3 separate regions of the Mus musculus genome follow, and all the other regions are reported to be linked to region 1. The links are microRNA targets in miRTarBase. Many come from high-throughput screens and were not tested one by one. Region 1 holds a microRNA gene; each other region holds the end of a gene's coding sequence.

Region 1 (4,151 bases):
TACACTGTAGACTGTACAAAAAACAGCCCACCTGCCTGACCAGTCTGAGTGGGCAAGTACAGACTGAGAGCAACCCTTCCTCCTAGTGTTGGAAGACTTGACCTTGGAGGAACAAAGCTTCTTGGGTTCTTCAGAGAAAGGCAAGTAAATGGCTATGGTCAGTGGGAAAGTTCCTGCCTGAATAGTAGGATCTTTAACACTAGAATTCCTCTAGCACTGAACCAGGGACCATTTTATACTACTTGCCAGAATGACCAAATTATTAGTCCATCTGTCCTGGAGTCTTGACTGTGATTAAAAATTTTCTTAATATGTTTGTCACAAGATGTATAGTGCTGTTTTATTTCTCATCCTTTAAATTTATTCATTCTGATTAAAGAAGAAACTTTCTTATTTATTAAAAGCTAGAAATTTGACAAGAAAAGGATACTAACATGTATTTCCTTCATTCTAATGAGTGAAGAAACAATACCAATGGAAGAGACATATCTAGGACTGAAAGCCAAACCAAAACAAAATTGATTAAAGATGACTTTAGCTCTTACCTCTTTTTCCAGATCATAGTTGGGGGCTGCACTGCTAAAGACACAATTAAAAGACTGTCCAGAGGACTAGTGAACTGAAGGCAGTGAAGAACAAGAGAAGAAAAGGAACTGGGGAGAAGAGTCCCAATAGAATACAAGTGTGTGCTCCAACCCAAGAGCTTTACATTTGATTTTGGAAGAGTACCTTCAGTTAATGTAAGCCAGGTAGTTATAAGAGAAAAGAACTAGATCTGATGGGGAAATATTCCAGAAACTCCCATTTTAGATGAGAAAGAAGAATTTCCTAATGGGGGGAACTGTCTAGGGAAGAAAATAATCTTACAAGAAGACACTGACCTCTTGATCGTGGCAAGATTTCCTTAGAGGCTCAACAGCTATCAGTGAAGGATGATTAATTTACTACAGACAAGGCTGCACTTTCTGAAAAGCTCCTGAAGCAGAAACTCTGCTTTAAGGTCCAAGGTGGGCTAAGTTTCAGGGCACCACTGCATTCAAAACCCTGAAAATTGAGTACATGTATGTTCCAGCTAGGAAGAACTGCCCTGGTGTCAAACTGGGAGAGTTGGGACCTGACTCAAAAATAACTGACAGTGGAGACACTATGAATTCAGAATAAGTAGTTTCTAGTCAAAGGAAAAGACCTACTTCTTTCTCCACAGGAAGAGATGTTGCTTACCTACTGCCATTGCTTCACCGATGATGCTGGCTCTGGGGCTTTGTAGTCACTAGGGCACCATTTTGAAACAATGCACAAACCATCTACTAAACGGAACCACTAGTGACTTAAAAGCCCCCGGGCCTTGTCTCTTCTGCCAGTTCTGATGATGGGGCTCCACCTATCTGGACAAACTGAAGTACTAAGAGGCAGGCCCATAGTTGTCTAGTAGAAGAGCAAGAATTCCAAGCCAAAGCAAGCAAAGTGGCTTTCTCAGAGCCCCAGGAAAAGGAAAAGCAGCACCCATTCCCTGCCTAGTACTACGTAAGCAAAGCTTTAGTCAGATGAGCATAAGCTGTCCCTCACCCAGTGACCATCAGTAGCAATAGCAGGTTTTTTTTTTTTTTTATGTCATCATCACACAGACACAAAGCAAAATAAATGACAAAAGGCTGGCTGGGTGACCTGCTCCATCCACATTCTTGTCAGTACATGTGAAGAAGGTCCAGGGTTGCTCTCAGAGCTACCCTGGGAAGACTCCTTGGCTCCTCATTCAGATCACCTAGGAATATAAGCAAAGATGCTCACATCTGTTCAGGAGTTACAAGTTAAGAGACCCAGAATCTGCCCCTATTGTCCTTGTCAGGAACAAGATCAGAAAATTTTCAAAGATTATGTTGATTCCACTATGAAGCCTTTGGTGAAAATACATGCTTTTCAGAGTTGCTCCTTTAAGATAATGCTACTGTACCAGCCACTGCAGCTGAGTAATTACCTGCAGACTCTCCAACCCCCACTAGTTACCATTATGACTCCAGCTTCTTGTGTAAGAATCCAGTAACCTCTTTGTACCTTGCTGGTGTGTCACCCAACTTCCCTATTTTCTTCTGTATAAAAAGTTTGATGCTCAATTTGACAAATACATTCAGATCCAGCACACTCTCTCATGTCTGTGTCTGTCAATTCCCGCTGACTCTATGCCCATCTGTCCAAACCTCTGATTCCCACAGGTTGAGGGGGGCTGATTAGGCCCAGTCAGTGGCACACTTCTACCTCTTGCTTCTCACTCAACCAGCTTGACTTGATTCAGGGTTTGGAGAAATCACCCGAGTACCTGTCTCCAATGTTGTCTAAGTAAGTTAGTGATATAACAAAGACACTGAATACAAAGGATCTAAAACCCAGAGTTAGATGAACATTCTGAAGGTTACAAAAATATATATACTCACCCCATTCTTCAAGGGGCTTGGCAAAGCACTTACCTCTTTGCAGATGAGACTGAGACATAGTTATAAAGTCTCAGTTTCCTCTGCAAACAGTTGTAACTGCTTAGCATATATAAGAGAGGAGTGATGCCCTCAACAGTGTTTCCATGCCCTCTTTACACAGCATTTGGACAAATAGCCAATTCCAGTTACTGGTGCTCCTCCCTCAGACTCTGCCCAGCTCTAGCTCCCACTGACCACCTACCAAATGGGGTAGAGATGATTTCAGTTTTGTTGTTCACGCCTGTAAAATCAAATTCCAATAGCTTCCAAGTGTTCTTCGCATTGATTTCGAGCTTGAAATTCTCCCATTTGTAGATCATTTCACTGTCATCATAGGAAACTGGAAATCAAAGTGGGAAAGAGTGAATGAGACTGGGAAGCCAAGTTGAGGGCCCCACAAGCATGGTGTTAGCCTGAGCCATGTTTTGGACTTTTGACTTTGGCTTCACCAGCTTTGAGACCCTGCCTCTGACCTAGTTGTCAAAATGCATTCAATAAGTACATTTGCCCTGGGCTTCAAATGCAAAGTTGAGTAAGGTGTGAACCAGCATTCACATTTCACTGAGCAAGGCAATATCGAACTCTAAATCTTGGGGTTGCTCTGAATATTTCTACCCATGGAACAACTGGTAAAGTAGGGAAAGATCACTTGTGGACACGATCAGAAAAGACTTCCTAGAGCATGGGGCATTCACTTTAAGTTTTGAAAATAAACATTCTCAATACAGATGAGGTTGAAGAAGGTGAAAGGAAAGCACAGAAAGGTGAATGAAGAAACAGCAAAACTTTAGGGAGAGTATCTCACAGATGGGTTATATAGCAGGAAGCAGCAGGGGTCAGGTCATGAAGGGCTTTGAGGTTCATTAGAAGGAATTTAGAATTGATCCATGCCAGCTAAGAGGAGATTTGAAATGAGAAATGAAAGCTAACAGTCAGAATGCAGAGAGGGAGGTGAGATCAATAGTGATTTGGAGGGAACACCAACAGGATGTGTGGACTGAGTAGATGTAGGAGGTCAATGAGGGGGGTGTCAGAGTTCTTGACTTGGGCAACTGGGTGAATGATGGCACCCTTGAATGAGGCAACACAGAAGCGACACATTTACTTTGGAGGCAGGAGTTGGAAAGAGACAATGAATTTAGCTTAGCACATATTCTGTTTCAAAGTGAAGATGTTGCAGAAGTTCAAGCAGAAGATGATTAAAGCCCCGCATCAAGGCAGAGATGGAGAGGAGCAGGCATACTTCAGATACACTTCAGAAGCAGGTGACTAGCTTAAGGTAGAGCAAGGGTGAGTGAGGGAAGAATTCAACATAAAGCTAAAGTAGTGCACACACAGCATTGCTGGCAGGAAACGGGGTGAGGATAGAAAATGGAGGCTTATAGCAACCTTGGCACCATCACAGGAAAAAAGCAGAAGCAGAAAAATTAAAAGGGAAAGATGAGCAAAAGAGGGGCCCAGCGTATCTCTGGATCCCCAGAAACCTAAGAAGGTACTCACAGCTAGAGAAAGACAGAGGGCAAGAGTGAGAATCCATTGGAAAATTGAGCATGTGGAGTGAGCATCTTGCATCAATGGTCATCCTGGAAGGGAGAAAGGAGCCTCATTAGGCTGGCTCTGTGTACTTAGGTATTTACTCAACATTGACCAAGGTATCACCTCTAATGAGTGGCATCAGTAGAA
Region 2 (4,000 bases), not on the chromosome of region 1:
GGTTCTCCCCACTCAGGCTAGAGAGGAAGGGCGCCCAACAGAATCCACTTTCCTCCCCTCCCTCGCTCAGCCCTCATCCCAGCTCTGGGGTGCACAGATCTACAAACCTTGCACCAGCGCTAGCTAGCTACTAGGCACAGAGGAAAGGAAGGCCCAGAGAAGACTCCCACTCTGTAAAAGGCAGCCAGCGACACCTCAAAAGAAACTCTGGTTTCCCTCAGTGTCGCATCGGGAGAATGGGAGGTGGGGCCCAGCTGCGGCTGGCTCCCGGCCTGGGTACCAGAAAGAGACCTTCAGCTCAACCCAGGCTGGGCGCTTGATGCAAATAGCAGCCCTAGGCAGGCAGGCAGGCGGGACCCACCGGCCACTACTTTGCTTGCTGGATTTGTGTAATAAGAAAGTGAAACTCAAAAAGCAGGTGGGGGTGGGGAACACACAAAACAAACCATCAGCAGCGTCGTGTTGTGTCTTGTATAGTTTGTGTTTCTTCCTACTGTTTTCTGGTAAGAAAACACTATGAACAAAAAAGCACCAATAAAACATCACCCCATGATATTGTAGACCAGCATTGTGTCTCAGACAGTGCAGACATGCTGCTTAAATCAGGGCGCCTGGGGTGCGGGTGGGGGCGGGGGTGGGGTGGGGTGGAGATGGGGAGAACCTATGCAGTGAAATAGACTTTACTCGGAAAGTTTCAAACCTTTACTATTTAATATAAAACAGCTGTGTTGGGGCGGGGTGGTCAATGGGTAAATACAAAAAAAGGCACTGCAGCTCACTGCTCAAGGCCTGACTTCACAGCCTCAGGCATGCAACTGCTCGACTCTTTTTAAAATTTTTTTTTATAAATAAAATTTCTTTGCTTTAGGATTTTTAAATTGAGCTGTATACCTGTAGTCAACACAGGACTCAAATCAAGGTGGGGGGGGGGAGGTTCTTAAAAATCATCAGAACACAACTTAAAAAATAAAAATAAAAACACTAACATAGCAAACCACAACTAAGTAGATAAATCTATACAGTCAATGAAAAATAAGCTTTTCTTTTTTTCTTTTTTTTTTTAAAAAAAGAATTCTGTTGTTACTAATAACAGACTTTATCATGGGTACCAGCCATAGCGAGTTAATAAGTGACATATCCAAAATAATATCTCTAATAATCAGATAACCATTGCTTCTATATTCAATGAAGGAATAAATAGAAATTCAGATTTGCAAATATACTCTATGGTCTTCTTCCTCTTAAAAGATTCGCACTCGTGTGATTGTGTTCACAAACTGGTTTCTGAATATCCCATGACCTTATGGGTACGTGCGTTGCGTGTAGCGGACTTAAACACCTTCTCTTTCCTACAGGATGAGGAGTCCTATTGTTCCTCTCTGTTAACCTTTCCAGCATCCTCCAAACACTTCCTCAGACCCTCTGGCCTTCCCTTTGGCCTTCGACATTTTAACCTGTTCTGCCTGACATGGGATCCTCCATCCCAGCTCCTTCCCCAACACTGAGCTTGGAAAGGGACACGAGGGATGAATGTTAATGGCACTTGGTTAAAAAAAAAAAGTCTATCTATCTACATATAAAAATTAAACATGCTGCCTCTTTCTGCACGTGAATTTGCATCTTCAAGACTGGGTCACCCAAGGAGTGTCCTGCATCTTTTGTTTCTGGTGTTGTTATAAAGTGCTGATTGGGGTGATGATCCAAGTCGTCCATGATCACTAAAAGCTCAACCTTCTTAAGGTGTCCTTGGCCCTGCACTGTAAAAGGACTTCGAAATCTCTGTTGTAGCATCCAAGGCTCGGCTCGGTTGTCCACCTGTAATCTTGACAGGCAAACACAGTTGTGTGGATTTTTATTAAGGCCTTTAGAATCTGTGTGCACTTCATTAACTTGAAAAAAAAAATAACCATAGGCAAGGTCATTTGCATGGTCTGGTTTTAAATGTCACTTTTTTTTTTTTTTTTAAAGAGGAATCTGTCTTACCCATTTACTAGACAGGCCTTATATTATGTTCTAGATCATGCCTCCGGCTACTCACTCATACTGTCACATTTACGCAGCTAATTCTCCAGTGTGGCACATAATTTCTTTTGGATTCCCTCTGATATCCTCCATTGCATTAAATTCTGAACTATTCTTTGTTGCCCTTAAGAAATAGATCTATTCCCACACGGTGTTACAGTTAATCTCGAACTGTGTAATGTACGTGTGAGGGTTTTCTCTTTTCTGTGCGTGGTTGGATAAACCATCCCACAACACAGCAAATCTCTGACTCACATGCATAGAGAGAGCAACCACTTCTCTCAGGAACTTAACCTTTCCTGCTTCTGTTTCCATTGTCCCCTCTTCCTCCCATGGTGGAGCTGGACCACGGGGACCTATTGCATCTCTGCATTCTCTCTGTGACACTACTGCTGGGCCATTCTCCTTTGGCAGAGATGGAGTGAGAAGAGATAAGACTCCCAGGCCTAGGCTCCTGCAAAGTCTCCATCACAGATGTTTCAGTGTCAGGCTTCATGCAAAAGAAAACCATCAACCCCTGTCTTTCCTTCTCTAGAGGGACTGTTATCCACGTGTGTGTCTGTGGAGGGAGACCGGGGCTGGTAGGATGGAGCCTGTGGGGAGGGTGGGAAGCAAAAAACAGGTCTTGCGTGGGATGCAAATCCAGCCCAGAAAGAGGTTGCAGAGTTTATCATCTCTAGATAGCCTACGAGCAAATCCAGAACTGATCACACAGCGCCATCATCCTGGTGTCCACACCTAGTACTCTGTTCATCTCAGCCACATCCTTATCCTTCAAACCCATCCACACACTCCTCCCACCTCATGGTCGAAGACGGTAACTTGAGGCCTACTTGACTGTAATCACCTTCCCAAGAAGCAGAGCTTGGCAGCCGTTTTTTTTTTTTTTTTAAAAGACAACCCTGCTGCTATTATAAAAATAGATGAGACAGAATGAATCCATAACAATAATCAGTCTTTTACAAAAAAAACCATAGTATGAAGAGAAGTTCTATCCACACTCTACACATTATGTACCCTTTAAAATTCTTATGTAAACAATACACAAATCAAAGTTTATCTGAAAGTTTGCTGGAGGGAATTTCTTCCTCTTGCCCTTGGTGCCATATAGCCCTCTCTTGTGGTTGTTTCAAGCCGGGCCTCGGGGAAATCCGGTCAGGGGAGCCACAAACAGGCTGGCTGCCATCTTGCTCTCCTTGCTTGTGTCCGCTGTCTTCTGCAGCCTGACTGTGAAGCCGGGTTCTGAGAAGGCTCCCCAGGGCAGGGCTTCTACCTCCCTCCTGTGTGTCTCTTGCATATCTCACCTAGCAATACTCTTCCCCACTCCATTTCCATCCAGGAAGCTACTAGCATCCCTCCACCCCCTCCCAGCCCCACATTCCCCCGAGAGTCCCCTCCCCACCCTGCATACCGTCCCATCCCCTGACAGAAACAAATGACAACATAACCAACCCCAGGTCTACTGATATGTTTACAAGGATGACCTACGCTCTCACAAAATCAAAATGGGCGAGGGACCAGGGGAAAAAGGCTGCAAAGTGTCTTGGAAGAGTCTCTGCAACCCTGAAGATGGCTGACACTGGGCCCGCAGCAGTCCATTTCACGGCCAGCGCGGTCACTGTCATCTTCAGTTTCTAGATTGTGGAGGTCCGGTCAACCCCGTCTGTGGAGGAAACCAGAGGACTACTGAGCAAAACCACTCTGGGCTAGCTGTCTACCAGCATGGCCAGCACTTTCAACATACTGGTCTCTAAGATGAAGGCTTTATTTGCTAACTCACTTGCATGCCCACCTACCTGTCCATTCACTTATTCATCCACCCACCTACCATTCACCCACCTAGCCACCCACCTAGCCACCACTCATCCATCCACTCAGCCACCTACACACCCACCCATTCACCTACCCTACCTACCCATCCATCCACTCATTTTCCTATCTACCCACCCACCCACCCACCCACACACACACACCCACA
Region 3 (4,000 bases), not on the chromosome of region 1:
GGTTAAATGAAGTTAGAGTTTTGATCCACCATCTGAGACTAGCCTAATTTGGGGACAAGAACCTGTAGCTTCCAATGTGGCTGTGAGACATTTTTCCTCTTCCCGATCTCATTTACAGTACCCAAACAAAACTTCAAGGACATCTTACAGTATTTTCTTCTTTCACTCAGCTTCAGAGCTGCAGTTTTAGTTACTATAATATACTCTAGACACTTCAAAATTACATCGGAAATACCAGAATACCTAAAATAAATAAAGGGCTAAAGAATGCTGGAAGAGTACTAAGTGTGCACCTGAGACAGAGCCTTCCACTCCCAGCCCTGCAGCGAAGGGCAAGGGCTTCTTTCAACATTTTATATACAGGCTTGAATCCAGAAGGTTAAAAGCATAAATACTGACAATTTCAACTAAATGCAAAATGGTTTCAGAAAGATATAACTACAATGATTTAGAACAGAACAAAGCAGAAGATTGCATTTTGGTTTGCTTGAGATATACATAAGGTGCAACGACTTGTCTTCATGAGGATGCTGTGAGACGAATATTAGTGTGGATGGTGCTTGCTGGCGGATCGCAAGTACACATCAGAGCAACACAGCAACGCCAGTTTCCAGAAGGAGAGACGTGAAATGGAGATGACAACACGGATAGAGTGAAGAAGGACAACGTAACAGACCGAAAGATTTGTGCTAACAAATGTTACCTGAAAATACCAACACCCCTCTCCAGCAGAGCCGGGGCATAAGAAGCACAGCTACTGAAATCAAGACCTCACTTGGAGAACTATAAAGCTTTGCAGGATTTCTGCTACTCTCAGTGCCTAACCGCTTAAAAATTAAGCATTTCTACAAAAAAGGTTTGTTTTTAAAGAATCTGAAAACAGTCATATCCAGTAAGTCCCTCCCCTTCCCACCCTGACTAAAGTAAAAGCCATTGGGGTTTAGGAAAAGCAGACCAGGTAAGATATTAACCATGTAGAAAAAAGTTATCTCTTGTTTGCTTCTTAAAAAAAAAAACTTTCAGGAATATACAGCAATCTCTTAAAGGACTCTAGTGAAATGTATCGGAGGACTGAGGGAGGGTGCTCTGGCAAAAATAGATCTATTCTAATGTGTTCTAGAGAATAACAAGTTAGTACCATTGTCAAGATGCATGTTCTGCACCAATGCAATTGTTGGTTTTCTATTTTTGTTATTATTTTTGGGGGGTTAGCTAATTATCATGTTTAAATCACTGCTAGCAAGTGGTCCAAACGCCAACAGCCACCAACATCAGGACCCAGCAATTTTCAATCATTCAGGTTTTTGTTTTGAAATTTAGAAAATATTATTAAAAGTTATCATAGTAAAAATAGTATGCTAAAATCTGGGGCTCTTCACGCGAATGGGGTTAAGCTATCCCTACTGATTCACCTTTCACCACTTCCTGCTTCCGTCATCCCCACAAGAAACAAAGTCTGAGGACATAATTCTAATACTTTGCTGCCCTCCCCACCTGCTTTGGAAAAACAACAACAAACAAAACAAACCTCTATGTTTTTCAATGCTGTTAGTATTGTTGTACATATTTTCCAGCACCGGAACTGAAGTAATATCTACAACCGTGAGAAGCTAGACCTAGACAGTATTAATAGAGTCATTTTATATGGCTATTAGGTCAAATTACAATTAGAAAAAAAAAACATTACAATTCAGTCAAGTATAAATAAGAAAGCTAGATAAAACCATGTAAACTGTCACCATTTAGAGATCTAATTCAAAAGCTTCAAACTCCAGCTAGCACTATCAAAATTCCACCAGTTTGAAAACTATTAAAAATTATTGCTGGGATCCAAAAAATCAAAATTTGGTAGTTTGTGCTGTGATGCAAGAGTGGGGAAATACTTTGTGCTATGGAACAAATACCCTGTAAAGTCTGTAGCCTCAGATTAATTTTGATGTATCACTTTGCATCTGTTGCTAGGAAACAAGACACTGTGAACATCAGGTGGTTAAGTCAATATGTTGAATGTTGTAAGCCAGTTAAATCCACTTGGCACTGGCATATGGTTGGTTTTATGCTTAAAAGCAACAAAACATAAAAAGGAAACAGAAACTTGTAGGTGGATCTGACTGAGAGGCGTGCTTCAGACACACCTCCCCCCTCGTTTACTCAATACTTCCTCAACAATACAAACTCCAAATGGCTCCTAAAACCTGCAGTGCCTATTAGGCCGTGCATAGCAATCACCACCCGTCTGGTCTGTGTGTGATGGATGTAAAAGGTCTGAAGCTCCAAGTCCATATGAAGTGAGCATCTTCAATGTGTTTAGAATAATGAAGTAATACTAAGGTCACTTCTGAATAATATTTTTGTCTTTTTTTTTGTTTGTTTATATGAACGATCCATTGGTCACTTAGACCCCTGTGTAAAAATAAAAGAATCCTCAAGGCATGAAAACATCAGTAATCTGTAATCTGCAGGATGCTTCCCCTGTCTGGGAAAATATTTGCCACAATTTGCCCCAAGCAAATTCTTCTTGGTCACTCAAGGCTAAGAAAAAAATTCAGATTGTAAGAATTGTAATATTCTCTTTCTCAGTCAGTCACAGTCAGTCAGTCTGTCTCTCTCTCTCTCTCTCTCTCTCTCTCTCTCTCTCTCTCTCTCTCTCTCTCTCTGCCAGCAAACTACCACTACCACTCTGGTGGCAAATATAAAAGTGCAGAATATATGGACCACGAGGCCGAGCATACACCGCTAACAATGGTACGTCTGCCTGCCCGTGCTGCTTGGGAGGCTCTGGTACAGGCTTTTTATATTTATTCTACAATATAAATGTAGGTATAACCTATTATATAAACCATCTTAGAACTTAAATCTTCATGTACAAAAGGCTAAGAATATCTAATAATAACTAGTGCAGTGCGTCAGGGTTTTCTTGTTTGTTTTGAAAGAATAACTAGATAATATATGAAACTAGTTTCACGCTCTCTGGTTGGTAAAAGAGGTGCTGGATGAGCTACAGCAAAGGCAGCCTTTTACCAAGTCACCACTGGTCACCATCAAAAGCCTTCCTTCCATGCAAAGCAAAGGTCTAGGCCACCGGGCTTTCACTCAGTATCACACAGTAGCACTGCCCTCAGAAACCGTGGCTTCTGAAACAACACATGGGCCCAGAATGCTAAGTTCTGCTTCAAGTGGTTCTGGGCTGTGTGGGGCACCAAGCACTTGTCTGCAGTCTGTGCTTCCCACTGCATGGACTCGCTAGCATCCCTGGTAAAGACAAGGCTAGGGTAGAAGGTGAAGCACAATGTTTTACAATTAAAGGGCGCGTCACTGGTCAGCACAAGAAATAAGTACAGGAGCCTGCGGCATTTCTTTTGGCTGTCCATCATGGGTGAGCGGAGTTGATCTCTGGCCTCTGTAAAACAAGAGGGAAAATGTCACTTACTGGGGGCATACAATCTGAGATAGGCAAGGACCAATGAGTGATAGGAACTTTCCATTGTCCCACTCAATAATAATTAATTGCTATTTAGTTCTTTAATTAAAGCTGGATTTGTCCTTAGAATTTTACTCTTGCCTTCCTCTTCTTTCTTTTCTGAAAAGTCATGTGTTCCCCCGACCCTTCCAACCACTTAACAATGTATTTTCTTGTTACCATAACAAGCCTGCCATGCCCGGACAAGCACACTGAGGCTGCCCCTGCCCTGGCCTATGGTGCACAACACAGCACTGAAAACAGCTGAAAAGACAGCAGTGTTTCCACGGGTCTCACTCCCAATAAAGTTCTTCAGGACACACAGGATAAGATTTTAAAATGCAGCAAAACCTGCTTTATAATTATACCCACATTTCTCTTAGTGTGCAAAAAAGAAAAGTAACTCTGTTATATAGAATACTAGAAGTATACACGATATTAAAGATTTTAAAAACAGAATACATACTAGGGCCAAATTTCTATTTACTTGCTCATTCATGTATGGTTGCTGTTAAGTACTAACTGGCCAATAGGTTTAGC

What was found. Region 1 holds the annotated microRNA mmu-miR-452-3p (UCAGUCUCAUCUGCAAAGAGGU, at 2,461-2,482, opposite strand). A microRNA usually pairs through its seed, bases 2 to 8, with sites in the 3' UTR of a target mRNA and lowers its output. Matches are read on the target gene's strand: a 7mer-m8 pairs with bases 2 to 8, a 7mer-A1 pairs with bases 2 to 7 and ends in A, and an 8mer does both.
Region 2: miRTarBase lists Samd4 as a target of mmu-miR-452-3p. Seed matches in the 3' UTR shown: 7mer-A1 at 2,974-2,980.
Region 3: miRTarBase lists Bbx as a target of mmu-miR-452-3p. Seed matches in the 3' UTR shown: 7mer-A1 at 2,595-2,601.

Annotation. Positions count from the first base shown.
Region 1 is chrX:72,259,775-72,263,925 of GRCm38, forward strand. Mir452 (microRNA 452) reads right to left here and starts at 2,534; the gene lies at 2,450-2,534. Gabre (gamma-aminobutyric acid (GABA) A receptor, subunit epsilon) reads right to left here. Exons shown (of 9, transcript NM_017369.2): 5 at 3,969-4,051; 6 at 2,671-2,808. It overlaps Mir224 (microRNA 224), which reads right to left and starts at 1,338; the gene lies at 1,257-1,338.
Region 2 is chr14:47,101,116-47,105,115 of GRCm38, reverse strand. Samd4 (sterile alpha motif domain containing 4) reads right to left here. Exons shown (of 13, transcript NM_001037221.2): 13 at 1-3,685. The coding sequence ends at 3,657. All of the region lies in intron 3 of Gm10371 (predicted gene 10371), which reads left to right. Among named protein-coding and RNA genes, the nearest start is that of Gm10371, 13 kb to the left of the region's middle.
Region 3 is chr16:50,194,247-50,198,246 of GRCm38, forward strand. It overlaps Bbx (bobby sox HMG box containing), which reads right to left. Exons shown (of 17, transcript NM_027444.3): 17 at 1-3,400. The coding sequence ends at 3,313. Among named protein-coding and RNA genes, the nearest start is that of Gm4827, 120 kb to the left of the region's middle.